2 linked regions of the Solanum lycopersicum genome follow. The protein of the gene in region 2 interacts with the protein of the main gene of each other region in a pairwise test. Links are inferred from orthologs where the notes say so. Each region holds a gene or a part of one and is shown on either strand. Other genes may lie near its edges. The genes, in order: MSI1 and EMF2.

Region 1 (8,532 bases), on a different chromosome or scaffold from region 2:
GATCATTTTTTTGGCTAAACAGATAGGGTTGGCAGTGCTCCATCTTTTGTGGGTTAATCTGTTAACTGTCTCTCACGTGAAACTATTGCAGGTTTACAGAATGAGGGACTGGAATAGATCACCACCACCCCCTATATTAAAGCATACAATTAAGCTCACATGCCCATGTTAGTAGCCTAGCCTGTCACAATCCTATTCTTTATGAGAATAAAGTTACATCATCAACTCATATGAACTTTGCTTTCATCTTTAAGCAATCACAGCCAACTATGGAGGAAAAAAAGAAATAGAATCTAGAAAAGTATAAAGCTGGCCAAATCATTTGCCAATTGGGAAAAAAGCAACTATGGGCTCAATATTTTCTCATCTAAATACAAAAATGAAATGTTAAAAGAGAAAAACAAAGTTGTTAAAGTAACAGTCATAGATATCATCACAGTAGTAGAGAAGCTCAGTTCAAAAGGAAAAATCGAAAAGAAAAAATAACGCAACAATGTGGGGGAGTAGAGGGGCAAATAGAACAAGCATCTTTTTAGCCTCTCCTAGTTGATGTTACAATACCCTCCTAAGGGCTATATTAGTATCCTAAGGGCCTTTGGGGGCATCATCTCCAGGCAGGTCATCTTCATCATGGTAGATGTTTTCAGCCATCTGCCAGATTTGTAGTATATTATCCTCGGCAACACTAGCAACGACCCAATCTTCACATGGGTTCCATGAGAAGTCTGAAATTTTACTTGTGTGGCCACCATGAATAAAGAGCAACTCTGGTGGTCCATCTTCCGCATCTTCTGGAGTTTGTTCCTCGTCGATCCTAAATCAAATTTTAAAAAAGTGAAATCTCAGGTTTACTGCAGCCTGCAGATCTTAAAGGGAACATTATATATAAAACCTCTAGTGATTTCTGTGAATCATCTAAAATAAATCCCATGTAACGCCAGATGTGGCATTCAAGCGTAGATGTTAAATGTATCACTGAGCAGAAATGGCCTTTTTTGACACAAGAAAATATCACTGGTTAAAACTGAAGTTCCTTTTAAAGTACATGATTTCAAATCCTTAACGCAATGATATCTCTAATGTCAAAGTCCAACTTCAATACACAAGTTGTCACAAAGGAGAAACAATGGATTGATACCACCAAAACAATTCAGTGAATAAGTGCAATCCCAGATACTGAGACTTGGATCAGAAACTCAGATTCGGACCACATGATAATATAATTGTACATCTGGATTATCATGTGCACAAATCAACATGGAACTTCAATTCTACACATGCCAAAACTCAGTAGAGCATATGACGTAGTCATTTTCACATGCTAGGACAATTCAGTACAATATTGACTCGAGCACACAACAGAATGAGCCTATTTCAGAGTTCCAAATCACATGTTGAGTGAGATGACAAAGTTGCAACCTATAAAGGAAGTGCCAAAATACTAATCTAGGACTAAAAGGTGTTTTTCCAAATAAATGGGCAGTAGCAAACAATGAAATGGGATAGTTTTCTAAGGAGTACAGGGATTGACGCCATGTGGGAGAAGAGGGAAGGAATAGAGATGATAGATCACAACTCTAGGTGAACTATAGCTGGCAAGATAAGGCAGGTGTTAACTTATAGATGGAATAATTAAAATTCAAAACATCAAAGAGCAAGATAGAATAAAAGCACCCACTGGACCGACAGAACATTCACTCTGATATTATGAAAATACTAGTAAGGATAGTTGGAAGAGTAACCTGCTGAGATCCCAAACCATGAGTCTCCTACCAAGGCAACAAGAAGCTAAAATGGTTTCATTCTTTGGATTCCACCCAACCTGGAAAACTTCCTCCCTGCAGAAAAGTTGCAAGGAAATTAATGATAAGCAACTGTAAATACAGATGAACAAGCTTCTATTATACTATTTAACACGAATGATGACGGAGCCAACATTTTCCTCAAAAGTATATGTAAGGAAGACATCTTACTTGTGACAATCCAAAGTATGAAGTGCAGTAGAAATCTTGCGTAGATCAAATAATTTAACTGTCTTGTCTGTAGACCCCGTTGCTACAACCCATTCATTAAAGGGGTTGAAAGCTAAGCAGTTAACCTGATCAAAAGAGAAAGGAGGTCAATCATGTACAATCATCAACACAAGACTGCTTGTTCACAAAAAATCTAGATAACTGCATTCAGAAATGTTTTTCATAATAGGCCATGTGCAGTAATGATCATCCTTCTATGATATTGTACATTTAATAATCAGCAGAGAGTATGGAAGGCAGGATCTTCTCCTTAAACCATTTAAAACGAAACAGAAATTCATCCAGACATGAGCATCACATTATAGTTTACACACACAGCAATCACTTGTTTGCACATCCAATAATGTAAACCCACGAAAATGAAAAGAAAAAAAAGTACAGGTAAAAATTGGGAAACACTAATTCTAGTTTCAAGAAAAACTATAATTATTTTGTAAGCACAAGATCCTCACATTTCTGTGCAAGAAAATCAAAAGACTGCCAACAATGTTAAGAAGACATATCTGAGTGGTTCTTACACCAGTCAAAAGGGAAGCATTATTAACTACATAAACGTGGAAAAGTCCAGCTAAGAAGTCTAAGCCGCACCTCACTTTGATGTGCAACTACAGATTGTATAGGCTTGGTCACTGATGGAGTTCGCAGATCCCATACGTGCAAATACTGATCATCCCCAACAGAGCCAAATAAATACTCATGCCTCAGATGCCAAGCTACATCCTCAACAACACCTTCATGAACCTACACATTTTAAATATTAGAATAAACCAACAACAGCTGACAAAAGCTTAATGAGAAAATAATACGAGAGACAAGATTCTTGTCCATGCTAGGTAGACTGAAGCTTCAGACAGCAAATAGTAGAGAAGATGATACCAAAAATATCCTTTGAGACAAAAGTTGGGACACTATTGAAGTTACAGTTTAACTTTGTAACATGATATTAATAAAGAGAACTCATGCTATTCTGCTTCGCTTGATCTTTTTTTACTTCGAGGTGCCTGGGGGTGTTTGCTGGAAGGGAAAGCATACAAGTTCTTCTCCAATTATCAATTATGGTTATTTGCACAAGATAAAACTACAAGTAGTAAGTGGGTGCAACAAATTGATAATCTATGCAGTGTAACATGGCAATATCTATCCTCTGCAGACTCGTCAGAAAAAAAAACACGAGGCAAACCTTAAATATCTGCATAGCCTCTAGAGCCTTATTTTTGGGAGTGGCATTAATGTCCCATAAACATATATGTGAGTCATCTGAACCACTCAATAGATGACCCTGCTTAAATTGACTCCAAGACAAACCATACCCCTCTGTACTGTGGCCTCTTAACCTCAAATCTGGATTGCATGCACCATCTAGAGGAGGCTTAGATGGATGTTTACTGTAGTCAAAAACATATACTTCAGCACTAACTGTCTTAGTTGCAATGATAAATGGGTTTTGGGGCATATATCGAGCCCGATTAACCTCTCCATCGTGATTTATTTGCTGGATTATTTGTACCTGAAAGAGAAATATTTATCATTATACATAAGCCACTCAATGTTGAAACAGAGACAAGAAATTCACTCTGATATTATGGGAAATAATAGTACAGCAAAAAGATATCAGAGTAAGGCCTTCAAGTGATAATTGGAACTGACAGACCATTTTTAAAACCTTTTTAGAGAATAAGATTTTACAGTTCCATGCCCTCATCATAAATAGAAGAATTCATTATCAATTTATCACTGACTCTATGTGGATAGTACCTTTGATATCTGTGACATCAATCTACACTAAAAGGTGATAGTCATAAGTGGTATTCTCATAAGCTTTTTAAAGTTCTAGCTGACTATTCAAAACTTCATCAGTTTTCTCCTGCAGCAATGTTGCTTCCAATCATCTTCACATTCAAATGAGTGGAGCAACTAAACCATTAGTTTTAGAACGCTAGCCGAATCAGGAAGCATTGGCTTTGTTACAACCCATTTCACCTAAGCTACCAGCAAATCACTACTGATTTGGGGTCCAAGCATCATTATTCATATATGATATAAAAGCCTCAAGTGCCCTTTATGAAGAGAACCTTTCAACAATATCAGGACAGAGAAAGAAGCAGAGGAATAATAAAAACTACAACAACGCATAAAATTTCAATAAGAAAATGTCAGTCAAAGAGTTCACTCTGCCCAAAGGGATTGACCTATTAGGTGCCCTTATTTGGTGTGGTGGTGGGTCAGAAAATGGTGCACTAATTATGCTAGGCCCCCTTTTTTCCCCTTTGGTGAATTTTTGATGAAATATTAACTGTACCTTGAGCAAAATCCATGAATGAACTGACAACTTCCAATTCACAACTCCCTAGTACCTACGCTGCAAAGGAGAAAACTTTGAGCCAACGGTCTATTGTAAACAACCTCTCGAACTCCACAAGGTAGGAGTAAGTCTGTGTACACACTACCCTCTGGGACTACACTGGTTACTTGTTATAGTGTTGTTAATAAACTTTAAACCATTTACTATATAACATAATCCCAAAGCTATCAAAATTCAAGAGATTCTTAAACAGGCTGCCCTAGAACAACTAAACTCTAGTACAAAACAAGTAAATCTCAGACGTTAACACTGAAATTAGCCAGAAAAATGTAGTAAAATAAAACATCCAGAAAATGAAAACCCATATAAAACAGCCAAACAAGGCATAAAACAGAATAGATTCAAACCTTGCCATTGGCACAACCAAATCCGCCAAATTCAGACCGATCATCATCATAGTGGCGGGCATCATTCTCAGCATCCTCAAGAGGCAGCTGAACCTGAGCAAGCATGAGATAGTTAGGCTCATTTTCCGATGTATGAGTCCCCAAAATCATCTTCTGAACGGAATAATCCTTTCCCGACGGCTCTTCCCGGTCCGGTAACCATTCGACGGTGAGCGAAGGCCATTCAAGCGCGTGAGTAATAACCAGATCGTAAAGAAAAGGAGTATTCTTCTTCCAAATCTTGTACTCCTCGTTTATCAGCCTCTCCTCAATTTCACCCCGCATCTCATCTTCGTCTTTCCCCATTAAACAATTTCAAGAATTGCCTTAAGATTTTTCTTCTTCTGTTTTGAGTGCGTGAGGGTTTGGGTTTTGTGGAGTTTGGGGATTTTTACGAGGGTTTGTAGAGAATTGGAGGGAACGGTATTTTTCAGTGAATTTTCTTTTTCTTTTTTTCTTTTTTTTTGCGGGATATGTGCAAAGCTAAAAGGGTTTTATATTGCGACGACATTGGGCTGTGTGACCCGAATTACGAATCGGTTGGATGTGCAGGTATCTTTACATAAATAGCCGCCAAATTTATCCTCTAGCCCCATTAAATATAAACTATTTTTACTTTGTTAACTACTCCCTCTATCACTATTTACTTATTCATGTGACCACATATTCTTTTATATCTATTCCTATTTACTTGTCTATTTTAACAAATCAAGAAAGGACAATAATTTTTTTTCCTAATATGTCCTTATTTAATTTTAAAAAATTTCTAGTATTAAAGGATCCTACAATTAATAATTAGTACCGATATAAGTTATTTCTTTTCTTGAATGGTATAATAATTCTGAAATAACTTATCCATGGACAAAATGACTAATTGACAAAAATATCCCTTTAAACACTTTTTATATATTACTTCTCACATTCATGAAGGGTGTTCTCGTACACATATATGTTGTTTAGAAGATTTATTATTTTGAATACAACAAACCAAATAGTCAATAAAAAATATTCTTAGCATAACTTATTTCATCATAATTAATTCCATCAAATATGAATTCAAACCAAACGAGTCACAATATTATCGAGAAATTTCTTGTAATTCTATTTTTTTTTGTTATATATTGCACTTGGATTATCATATTACTTTGTCATAGATGCTTGTGTTTTTAGTATGAATTTTCTTGTTTGCTTTAATATTTTTTCTTGATTCCTTTATTTTGAATGTTTCCCTTTTTATTATGATTAGTAAGGTTTGATAATTGAGTGGAGAGTATAAAAACAAAACTTTATTTTATTTAATATGAGTAGAATTTGTATACATATTTACCTTTTAATATTCTGTAAAAATACGTTAAATATGTTATTGTAAGATAAATATATCATAAAATTTATTTGGTAATCTACTAAAAATGAAAATGAAAATATATTATACCTTAATTGTATGTTCAGAGTGGACCTATATACCAAGAGCAATAAAATTATGAATAAGAATATCCAAGATAAGGACAGAGTAACCTCTTGTGATAGGAAGAAAGTAACTCTGAGATGATCTAAACGTATGAATAAGAGATGTGCATATGCTGCACTGAGGAGATATGAGAGGTTAGTTATAGTAGATTCGAGAAGCAGTAGAATAGGCAGAAGAAGTATTCAGAGAGCTAATCAGTCACGACACAAAATAACTTCTAATTACCAAGAATACTATCTTAAACATGAGGGCGTGGAGGACACTCAATGGGGTAAAAGGTTAACAAACAATGGATGTTGATGTTTGTTGTCGTATTATTTGTAATAATATAGTTTTTGCTTTTGATATCTATCATTGTTTGTTGTTTATTACGTTTCGATTATCATACGATTCTTAACTTCTTATTCCTTCTCTTGTAGGTTTTACATTGATTCCCTTATTAGTTGCTAAATAATCTTCATGATTTTTTTCATCTTCTTTTATTCAAAAAAAATAAATTACTACACTTGAGTTGATAATCTTTCAAAAGCAATTTTTCTAACTCTACGAGATAGTCATAAAATCTACTATTCCAGTTATTAAATATTAATTTAAGGAAAAAGGGCCAAAATACCCTCAACTTTGTGTTATTGGTTGATTATACCCTTATCGTTAAAGTAGAGTTATTTTTATCCCCTACTGTTACTATTTTCACCAGTTTTACCCCTTAACTGGATGGAAAATCCAAATCAACTAAAATTACCCAATTTCAATTGTATGACCTGATTTTCTCATTTTAATAAGAGCCCGACCCATTTACCAAATTTAAAACCCAAATCAAGCTCCAACGACCCAAAAATCCCATTCATTTTCTCCTTTTTTCCGACGAAACACCACCGAAACAACCTCCAAACGACCAATTGAAACCACCACTCAAAAGCCACCAAACCCAGGATCAACACCAAACAGAAAACATTAACAACAAACCCATTTTTCTCTACTTTCTGGTGCCAATACAAGACCTTTCGTCTCAATTTTCTGACAGTTCTAAGCTGAAACAACATTAAACAAATCACCCACCATCGGAATCATTCAAACAGTTGCGAAACCGTTCTAAAACAACTCTCAAACACCATCCTTTCCATGCCAAAATCTGATAGTAAAACCACATTTCAGCCCACCAAAACTCAGACCTCCATCACCCAAGCTAAAATAACCAGCAAATGATCACCAGACTATCGTTCTCCAACCTCCAAACAACCAACAAACAGAACCCCCACCGGAAAACAACTGAAAGCACCGTTAATAAATTAAACCAACAACATAATTAAGCGAGCATCAAGGCTGGAAAACAACAGCCACAAATTGATAGAAATGAGATCCAAAAATTAAAGTTGGAACGTAGGGATTGGTAGCAAATCTGATCACATATTTTAGTAACATGTGTTTCAACAGAAAAGAGATGGAGAAATTAAAAAAATGTGTTTAGGATTTTAATTTGATATAATGAATCAAGTTCGATTAAAAGAGAAAATCGGGTCATTCAATTGTAATTTTAGTTTATTTAGTTTTTTCATCCAATTAAGGGATAAAAATGATGAAAATAGTAACGGTAACGGTAAAAATAACTTCACTTTAACGATGAGAACATAATCAACTAATAAAACAAAGTTGAGGGGCATTTTTGACAATTTTCTCTTTATTTAATACCATTTGTATGATTTTAAAAAAAAAACAAACCCGCATATATCATAATTCTAGTTGATTTTGGCGCGCTGTTCAAAATTCGCCCAATGAAGGAACCCTATTTTTCAATTGCAAAGCGGGAACTCAAAAACCTTTCACTATCCAGATCAACAGCAGCATCTTCCACAATTTCCGTCAATAAGATGCGCCGGATGCCGCCGTGTGAACCCAGCAGTGTCGGATCGTCTACATCCTCCTCCAACTTCGGCAATATCTCTCCACCGGCGTCCGTGATTCCGATACAAGCTTTGCCGGTAGTCGCCCTTCATCTAAACCCTTAAATTTATCCTCTCTCGTTTTGGATTTTCCTCATTAGATTCGCAAAAAACTAGAAGACAATCTCCAAAGCCTAATGAAATCCTTAAATTTCCCAGTGATATTGGACAACTCTGCATTACGCGCCCCTGGGACACCTCATTATTGAGCTAGTCTATACACAGCAATTCACCGTCTTTGTTCAGTTGTGTAAATTTGATAATCACGGCCTGAGTTCTGCTCAACCACCTGCTTCGGAGAATAAGGAGTTGAGCAACGCTATTGAGAGTTATTTGCATTACC
Region 2 (8,532 bases):
AATAATTAAACATATTCTTCATTAAAATATAAAGTATAATATAGCTATATGCCTTTAATATGTAATAATTGTATTTTACTATGTTATGTAGTTTTTCCATGTTTAGAAACTTGGGACAAACCTAAAGGTGTAAAGCAAGACTTACATAGGCAAATTAAAGTTAGATTACAAGGATTTAGGTAAAAGAGATAAACTTGAAACTCCATCTAAAATAAAGTGTTTTAAATGTGAAAAATATGAGCATAAAGAAAATGAATGTTCTAATAAATTAAAGACCTATCATTAAAAGATTAAGATATAGATATTTTGTATTATTCGAATTAGGCAAATGTGATAATTGATGCCCTAAATCGCAGATCGATGGACAACTTCTCATACTTATGAGCCAAAAAGAGATATTATAATTGACTTCATATTTCAGATGTTACAGGACTCAAATAGTTAATAATTATGGTGGAAGCATATCATTTTCATTATTTTATTCAATCATGATCAATGAAGACATATCATGATTTTAAGAGGATCCAAATTGAATTTGTGACTGAGTGTACCAATTGTCAGTATGTAAAAGTTAGACATAAGTGTGATGGGATAATACATGATATGACTATTCCTGATGTGGGAAGTATTCAATTATGAATTATGTTACACAATTAACCTATTTGCGAAATACTTTTGATTCTATTTAAGTGATTGTTGACAAACTAACAAAATAACCCATTTCTTGTCACTATACTTATATGAACGATGATTGTGTATAGTTGTATTTTTGATATATATAGTCAGTCTCCACGTTGTCCTAGTATTAATCATTTATGATTGAGGAGCACAATTTATATCTACTTTTTAGTAGTCATTCCAGAAGGACTCAGATGGTCAGATCGAGCACACAATAGTTAAAACATTTCAGAATATCTTATGAGTATGTGATATAAAATTCAAGAAAAATTGAGAATGATCACTTACCTCTTATTGAGTTGCATATAATAATAACTATCATTTTAATATTAGGATGAGTCATGACGCCTTATGAAGTTTTGTAGGGACGAAAATGCACATCCCCTATTAGTTGGTTATAGGCGGGTAATTCATGATTGGTTGGACTTGATTTAGTACACCTGACAATGGAGCAAGTTAAACTTATTTTGATTAGTTATTGACGAACATGATCACTAGAAATCATAATGAGGACCAAATACATAGCTTCGGTAAAGGTCTTTGGAGAAATAAGAACATCGAAGAAATGGCAAGAAAAATTGAGAAGGATATGAGATCTAGACACCCAAACCTCTTCCAAGCACTATAGTGAGAATATGCCAACCTGAATATCGTAGTCCGAGGTGAGTTACCCCTTTCAATTAAATTTTTATTATAATTATAATTTGCTTAAGACATTTGTTTATTAAGTTGCATCTTGTTGGTATGTTGTATCACTTTGTGAGACATTTAGACGGACTCCTCTACTTTTCTCATTTTATTGATATACCGTCATGAAAAGGATCATAGAAATTATTGCTAAAATTCGGATCAAATGAGATTGTCTAATTCATCCATACGATTCAACATATTCGAATCGATCAAAAATTTTAATTCTATCCCAATTATTCATTTTCAAATAATATTTACATTATTTACAAATATTTGTTATAATAAAAAATAGGTTTACCCCTCATTAATAAACTTAACAGATACAACTCTCTTTTAACAATTTTTCCAAACAAGTCATAATTATCCAATTTCAATTGAATTAATAGGCCAAATTTTACTACTTTGTGTGAACTTAAGTACCCATTTTGACCCTTGTTGTGAGTGTTTTATACATGTAATGAATGCACTTTGGAAGTATCAATATTCTTTTGCTATTTTGAGGTATGAAAAATTTTAAAAGGCATTTTTGTCATTTTAATTATTTTATCTCGAAATAAATTATTTTAATATTTATTTTTTCAAAAACAAAAATAACAAGTAAGATGCAAACAACTAATGGTAATAAGTTCTAAAAACATAGCTACCCCACCCTAAAATGGTAATAAATACCAAAATAGTTACTTCAGCATTATTGTTCCACCATAATAATAATAATTTATCTTAATTTTATTTTATTTGTCTCTAATTACTTGTCTATTTTTTTTAATCTATTTTTAGTTACTTGTTTATTTTGACAAATCAAGAAATGATAATTTTTAAATTAATCATGCCCTCATAATTATTTTAAAAAATAGAACTTTTTAAAAACCTTAAAATATTCATTAATTCACTTTATAATTAATAAGGGTAAAATGATAAATTCACTAGGTTAATAATTATTTTCTTCCTAAGTATACCATTAATTCAAAAATAAATAGATAATTAAGGACAGATAAATAAATTATTAAATTCGAGATAAATTATGTTGAACTGATCAACCAAAACAACGAAATAAGTGCACTTTAATTAATTCCAAAGACTATTTGGTCTTCACACCAAACAACCCCTTAAAAGTGGCTCCGTTCAGATTGTTCCTGTTCCCAGTTAAAACTTGACCCTGCCCCAAAACGCCTCTGGTTGAGCGGTCAAAGTTCGAACCGAAACCAAGAACGGATCCTAAAATCCGACTGATTCAGGCCCGCCAATCTCAAACGGCACCGGTCTTCTTCTTCTTCCGGCGAATCGACAGAGAGAGCACCTTCCTCCATCATCTTCGGCGAAATCCAGTTGTAGGTTACGTTCTTTCCTGTCTATAACGTGGGGCAAAATCCCTAATCCATTTTTCTAATTATTGTGAGCATTGCGACGATTTAACTTTGCATATATCCATGTTTTGCCTTTGAATTATCAGCGATTTGGGAATTCCAGTGTTAGCTGTTTTTTTTTTTTTTTTTTGAGCTTACCTGTGAAGTCTTAAGTATTGGATTTTATGGTTGTTTGGAGTTACCTAATAACGTGATGGATAAAAGGAAAGAAAGAAAGAAACACAAACAAGAAATGAACTGCTAGAATGACCCTTGTGTTCAGTTGCAATCGAGCAAAGGCGGCATTAGGTGAGTTCTTTGCATCTGCTAAGCTTTGGTGAGCTGAGTTAGTGGGTAAGTGTGCTTGTAAGAGGTACCATGTACCCAAGGTGTGTGTAAGCTGGTGCAGGAACCACAAGTATAACAAAGAAAATAATAAAGACAGAGCTAGGTTATGTGCGAAAACAATTTTTTTTTTTTTGATAATTGATGTTCTTTATTCCAACCTGAAAAACACAGGACTGGCTGTTTCGGCTGCAAATTGATTATAGTTTTCTGATTGTATAGCCCTTTTGCTTTGCAAATTTGGGAGAAATAGTCTTTTGTTGATAAATAATGGACTAGAGTATCTCTATGTCATTCATCTTAGTGAGATTTGAAAACTACATCTTTATTATGTGAATTCAGAAACTTTTCTTTATACTTAGGAACTTATTGAGAAACAGGGAGTTCTATTAGATCATAGAGGGGTTCTCAGACCTACCAAAGGTATTCCAGATTACCCTCTAGTAGGATCAGATTTACAGAGGCCAAAATATTCTTCCTTTATGCGTGTTTTGAAGGCTGAACTAAAGGAAGTTGTAGTTCAATTTGCTTAAAGTTTTTAAAGACCAAATTCAGCAATTATTTGTCCTGGAATGAATATAGTAGATGAGCTATAGATCGAGTTTGGATGGATCAATAATCCCAGTGGGTTATGTTTGTGTGGAGATAGTTTTCTCGGCTTCAAGTAAATGGAATTGCTCACTGTTGAGAAACTGGTCTGGTAAGGTGAAGGTTCATGTTGTTGCCAGACTCTTTCTTTCGTGAAGGGTTAATGGGGATTAACTATTAAGAAAGGGATAGGGAGAAGCACATATTTGCATTAGTGTAGGAGGAATATTTGGAGTGGTGCCGGGGGATGCTGATATTGGGAAGGTAAGAACTAAGAAAAAATTTGACTGGTTTTCAGATACTATCACGTGAAGATCTTTGTGATCTCCATGATTTTTTTCTCTTCTTGGTAATTCTCAGATCACTATATGAGAGAATCACCTTTTCTTGGTCAAGTCACTGCATGAGAGACTCAATTATTCATATTTTACACTAGAGACAAAAATGTTATGGATCTCTCTCTTTTGTGAATCAATCTTGATTGTTAGGGAGACAATGTTCCTGTTCTTTTTGAGTAATTAATACCGTTGAATGTATATTATGGGCAACCTATTCTTCCTTCAGTTGAACTCTAGCTTTTCGACGACTGTTGTATTTTTACCAAGCCATTTATACATGAGTTGCAACATATATTGCTGTGGTTCCCCTTGCTTTATAAAATCAAAGAACACAGATTTTATCATGCTATAGCCACTGGTTCCTTTTCCTTTATAAAATCGAAGAACAAAGATTTTATCATGCTATAGCCGCATGTGTATCCCTTTCGCTTGATGAAGAAGCTGCACACGAGTTGCCATGTTAAGCTCCATTCACATTTTGCACCTGGTAGTTCCAGTAGCTTTCTATTGGTTATTTGCTTATCAAAAAGGGTTGTAACATGGGTTGTAACATGTAATCTCAATCTCTTTATTATATCTTCTTCTTAAAATGGTTGTTTGGCTGCATTTTTTAGCAAGGCTATTTATATTCATACGTTGATATAGTGAGACTTCATGGCTATGTTTTTTCAAGTGAGATGAGAATGATTTTTCTGAATATCTCCCTCCTCCGCAACTAAAGAAAAGAGAGGAGTAGGAAAACTCATGTATTATCTGAAGGAGAAAGCTGAATCAGAATTTATCAATTATATTTCTGTCCCTTGTTGCCTATTATATCAAGTACTTAATGATTCTTTTCTCACACAATTTTAATTTCTGAATTTAGTGAAGTTGAAAGAACTATGAATATACATTTGAATACTTTGTGACAAGGATGCCAGGCATACCTTTAGTGGCTCGTGAAACCACGTAAGATATTTCCTGTGCCCTGCATTTGAGGTGTTATATTTGTATTGTCAATAATTACATTTTAAGGTACTCAAATGCACCTAAGAAGCATGGATGATGATTGTTATATTATAATTTTTGGAACAGGAATTACACTTGCTACTGCAGTTACTCTACAGCCACGGATTCAATGTGCAGGCAAGATTCTGCTACACATTTGTCTGCAGAGGAGGAGATTGCTGCTGAAGAAAGCCTTTCAAGTTATTGCAAACCTGTTGAACTCTACAATATTCTCCAACGCCGTGCTGTTAGAAATGTAATGTACTTACATGAGGAGATAAATTTTGCCTATTTATCATCAATGCTAATGATTTTGGTGTCAATTTCCAAGTTGATGTTAATGTTCTTACAAATATTGTTGCTTTTATTGGTTTTGAATGTCACTTAAAGTCTTTATGGTAACAAAATAACAATATTATCATTCTTCTCAGCCATGATGTTCTAAGTAAACACATCTTATGTCAGTTCCAAGTGTTTTATGGAAAAGTATATGAAAGATTATTATCTTTCTCTCAGCCATGCTTTTGAACTGATGTTTTAGATCCGGGCTTCTTTTTTTTGCTTGTTTCCAATTGTTATGAGATTTAATTTGTTTGTTCTCATCACGTTTATGACATGCTAATTATACATTCATAATCGGCATTTTGTGTAAGATGTTTCTAAAGACTGTAAAATATCTTGCAGCCTTCATTCCTTCAAAGATGCTTACAGTACAAAATTCAAGCAAAGCACAAAAGAAGGTATATATGATTGTGATTGCTTTCACTCCCAATTTTTCCTTCATGCAAGGTTACGTCTCATGTACTCTATACTAGATGCTCTGAGGTACTTTTAGTTGTCATGTGATATTGTCCATGTTGCTTTGGAGTGAAATCTAAATTTTTGTGGAGACATGACTTTCATTACTTTATTCCATTGGGAATGTTTGTTTGAATTGTCTTAATTATGTAGTCCTTTTTTTTGTGACAATGGCTGTTCAGTCAATATTTATTGTATTAAATTTAATGAATTGTCGAGAATCCAGTGATCTAAATCAAACAAGTTCCTAGTGACAAGATGTCTTCACAGTTTGATTCAATGATTAAACTTTGTAGTACTACTAAAGTCTAAACATTTTTCCTTATAAAATTTGTTAGTAAGTGCTTACACATTTAAGACTTGTATAGTAGCTTGTATGATATGGTGGTTTCACCAGTGTTATCGAAGGCGAAAAGTGCAAAAAAGCTCTAAGGCCCGTTGAGGCTTTAAGAGCAAACACACACAAAGCATGAGCTTTAATGATAAAGGCGCAAAGGGAGAAAAAATTAAAATATATATGTGTAGTCAAAGAATTATAAACATGAATGATGAATGACAAATATATGACCAAAGAAATTGGAAAAAAATTATGATAAGTGAAATATCAATTGTTTAGTATCATTTCTCCAGAATAGGCTCATAGGCAAGGAAAAGTTTGCCTTAGAACCTCGAGGATGACACTGAAACACATATAAAGCGAGGCGAAGTGCTCAACACGTTTTGAGCCTCGCTTCATGGCCTAATCACACTTAAAGCACGCCTTTTGACTACACTGGCTTCGCCTTATGGCTGCAAAGTAACTTCTTAAAAGACAGATCTAGTTATTGCTGGCAAGTTTTCTAAATTGCATGCAAACTACTGTTTGAAATAGCTGATGAAACTACATCTCCTATGTGGTTTGCGAGCTATTGCATAGAAGAGGGGTTTTTACCCTGTGCACATTTGGATGTAGCGGCTGCGGATTTCCCTTGTCATAAAAAAAATAGCTGATGAAACGTAATATCGTTCACTATGTAGTTGGTGATCAATATCGTACGTGTTACTCTTATACCACCCCATAATTCATCAAATGTCAAAAAAATTAAAATCATATAGGTGCACAAGTTTGAAACAAAAAAGCAAAGAGAAGCCCACAACTTTTTAAGTGAATGCACAATTTACATATTATTAAAAAATAGCAAAACTTATATGAAATTTGTACACTAACAAGCAAATTTCAAGTAAAATAACTAATTTTCGCATCCAATATAAAGTACCTTTTACTTAACAAAAATATTCAGCTCCTCAAATGTGATATTCAATTACCTCGCTGCGAAGCTTGATATTTAAGTGGAGAAGGGTAGAGGGCCTAGACCTATTATCCATTAAGTTTTGAACCTTGTGCCGTTAGACCTTCGGAATTCCCAGTTTAAAAAATGTCATTTTGAATAAAATACCTTATCCCAAAAATTCCTACTTCTGAAAGGTGAAATTCAAGAAGCAACCTACAAGCCTGTTTGGATTGGCTTTCAAAAGTTAGTTAGACCTACTATTAAGTCATTTTTAGCTTTTGGGAGTGTTTGACAAAGTTAAAAGTAACTAAAATAAGTTAAAAATGACTTGAGAAGATCCTTCGGGGTGGCCCGGTGGTTTGAGCTTGGAACTTCCATGTTGGAGGTCTCAAGTTCGAAACCCCTTGCCAGCGAAAGTAAGGGATTTGCATTCTGGGTCAAGCTGTCGCACCAGGCTTGCCTAGTGCGGGTTACCTCTCCTATATGGTTTGCAAGCTATTGCATAGGAGCGGAGTTTTACCCTGTGCGCACCCAAAACTGTAGCGGCTGCGGGTTTCCCTTGTCGTCAAAAAAAAAAAGACTTGAGAGGAGTTAAAAGTAGGTATTCCCCTACTTTTCATTTTTAACTTAGAAGTTACTAAAGTTTTGACTTTTTTAAAACTATTTTTTTTTAAAGTTAAGCCAAACGGGCTCTACTTCTTGCCGGGATCAATTTGTGTGTAATTGTTTTGAAGCCCGAACTTCGCTGAAATGCATGGGTTTGCCATGAAGAGATGATCTCTCACTTCAACACTTGAAGCAAAAAGTGATGGCAGTGTCTGTATACTTACAATTAGATTGTTTCAGAGGTGATTTATTACCGTGGATAATTTTTTTAGGATTCAAATGACAATATCTGTGCCAGCAACTGTCAGCGATGAATCACAGGTCCAGAATTTGTTTCCTTTGGGTGTAATTTTGGCAAAGCCACTATCAAGTGCTGCAGCTGCTGAGGGAGTAAGTTCTAATCTTGTGCAAGTACATCCAGTGACTTTTAATCTTTTATGCTGTTGGGTACCTTGCTAATGCCATTTGGTTACAGCATTCTGCTGTCTATCAGTTTAAGCGGGCATGCATGTCTACCTCATTCAGTGGAGTTGATGGGATAAATCGCGCTCAAGCAAAATTCATTCTCCCTGAAATGAATAAACTCTCTGCTGAAATAAGGGCCGGCTCTCTTGTCATCCTGTTTGTCAGCTTTGGTAGGTAAAGTGTTTCTGGAATTTTATTTGTTGAGTTCAATATGAAGGCCAACTATGTATGGTTTTCTGCCTTTGCAGCCGAACTTGCCAGAGATCGTGGGGATATATCTTCATTTCCATGTAAGTAATGAGTTTGTGTAGTTACAGGTGTCAAATAAATTTTATCTGGCATTTATGATTGCTAGCCTTTTGAACCTCAGCAACTTTTCATTTTGTTTTCTTTTTGGCTATTTGTATTGATAATTTAGAAAAA

The links.
Region 1: the proteins of EMF2 (region 2) and MSI1 interact in binary tests that used the Arabidopsis thaliana proteins (3 or more experiments, as listed by UniProt). The link is inferred for Solanum lycopersicum from reciprocal best matches to the Arabidopsis thaliana genes EMF2 and MSI1.

The regions. Positions count from the first base shown.
Region 1 is NC_090800.1:88,995,404-89,003,935, forward strand, and holds MSI1 (WD-40 repeat-containing protein MSI1), read right to left. Parts: upstream 5,230-8,532; 5' UTR 5,088-5,229; coding exon 4,743-5,087; intron 3,541-4,742; coding exon 3,214-3,540; intron 2,775-3,213; coding exon 2,622-2,774; intron 2,099-2,621; coding exon 1,974-2,098; intron 1,839-1,973; coding exon 1,743-1,838; intron 815-1,742; coding exon 586-814; 3' UTR 307-585; downstream 1-306. UniProt on the Arabidopsis thaliana protein: Core histone-binding subunit that may target chromatin assembly factors, chromatin remodeling factors and histone deacetylases to their histone substrates in a manner that is regulated by nucleosomal DNA.
Region 2 is NC_090802.1:51,954,591-51,963,122, reverse strand, and holds the start of EMF2 (polycomb group protein EMBRYONIC FLOWER 2), read left to right. Parts: upstream 1-2,564; 5' UTR 2,565-2,696; exon of another isoform or gene 2,697-2,700; intron 2,701-4,847; 5' UTR 4,848-4,895; coding exon 4,896-4,930; exon of another isoform or gene 4,931-4,960; intron 4,961-5,056; coding exon 5,057-5,225; intron 5,226-5,653; coding exon 5,654-5,709; intron 5,710-7,916; coding exon 7,917-8,034; intron 8,035-8,119; coding exon 8,120-8,279; intron 8,280-8,357; coding exon 8,358-8,399; intron 8,400-8,532. UniProt on the Arabidopsis thaliana protein: Polycomb group (PcG) protein. Involved in flowering processes by repressing unknown target genes and preventing reproductive development.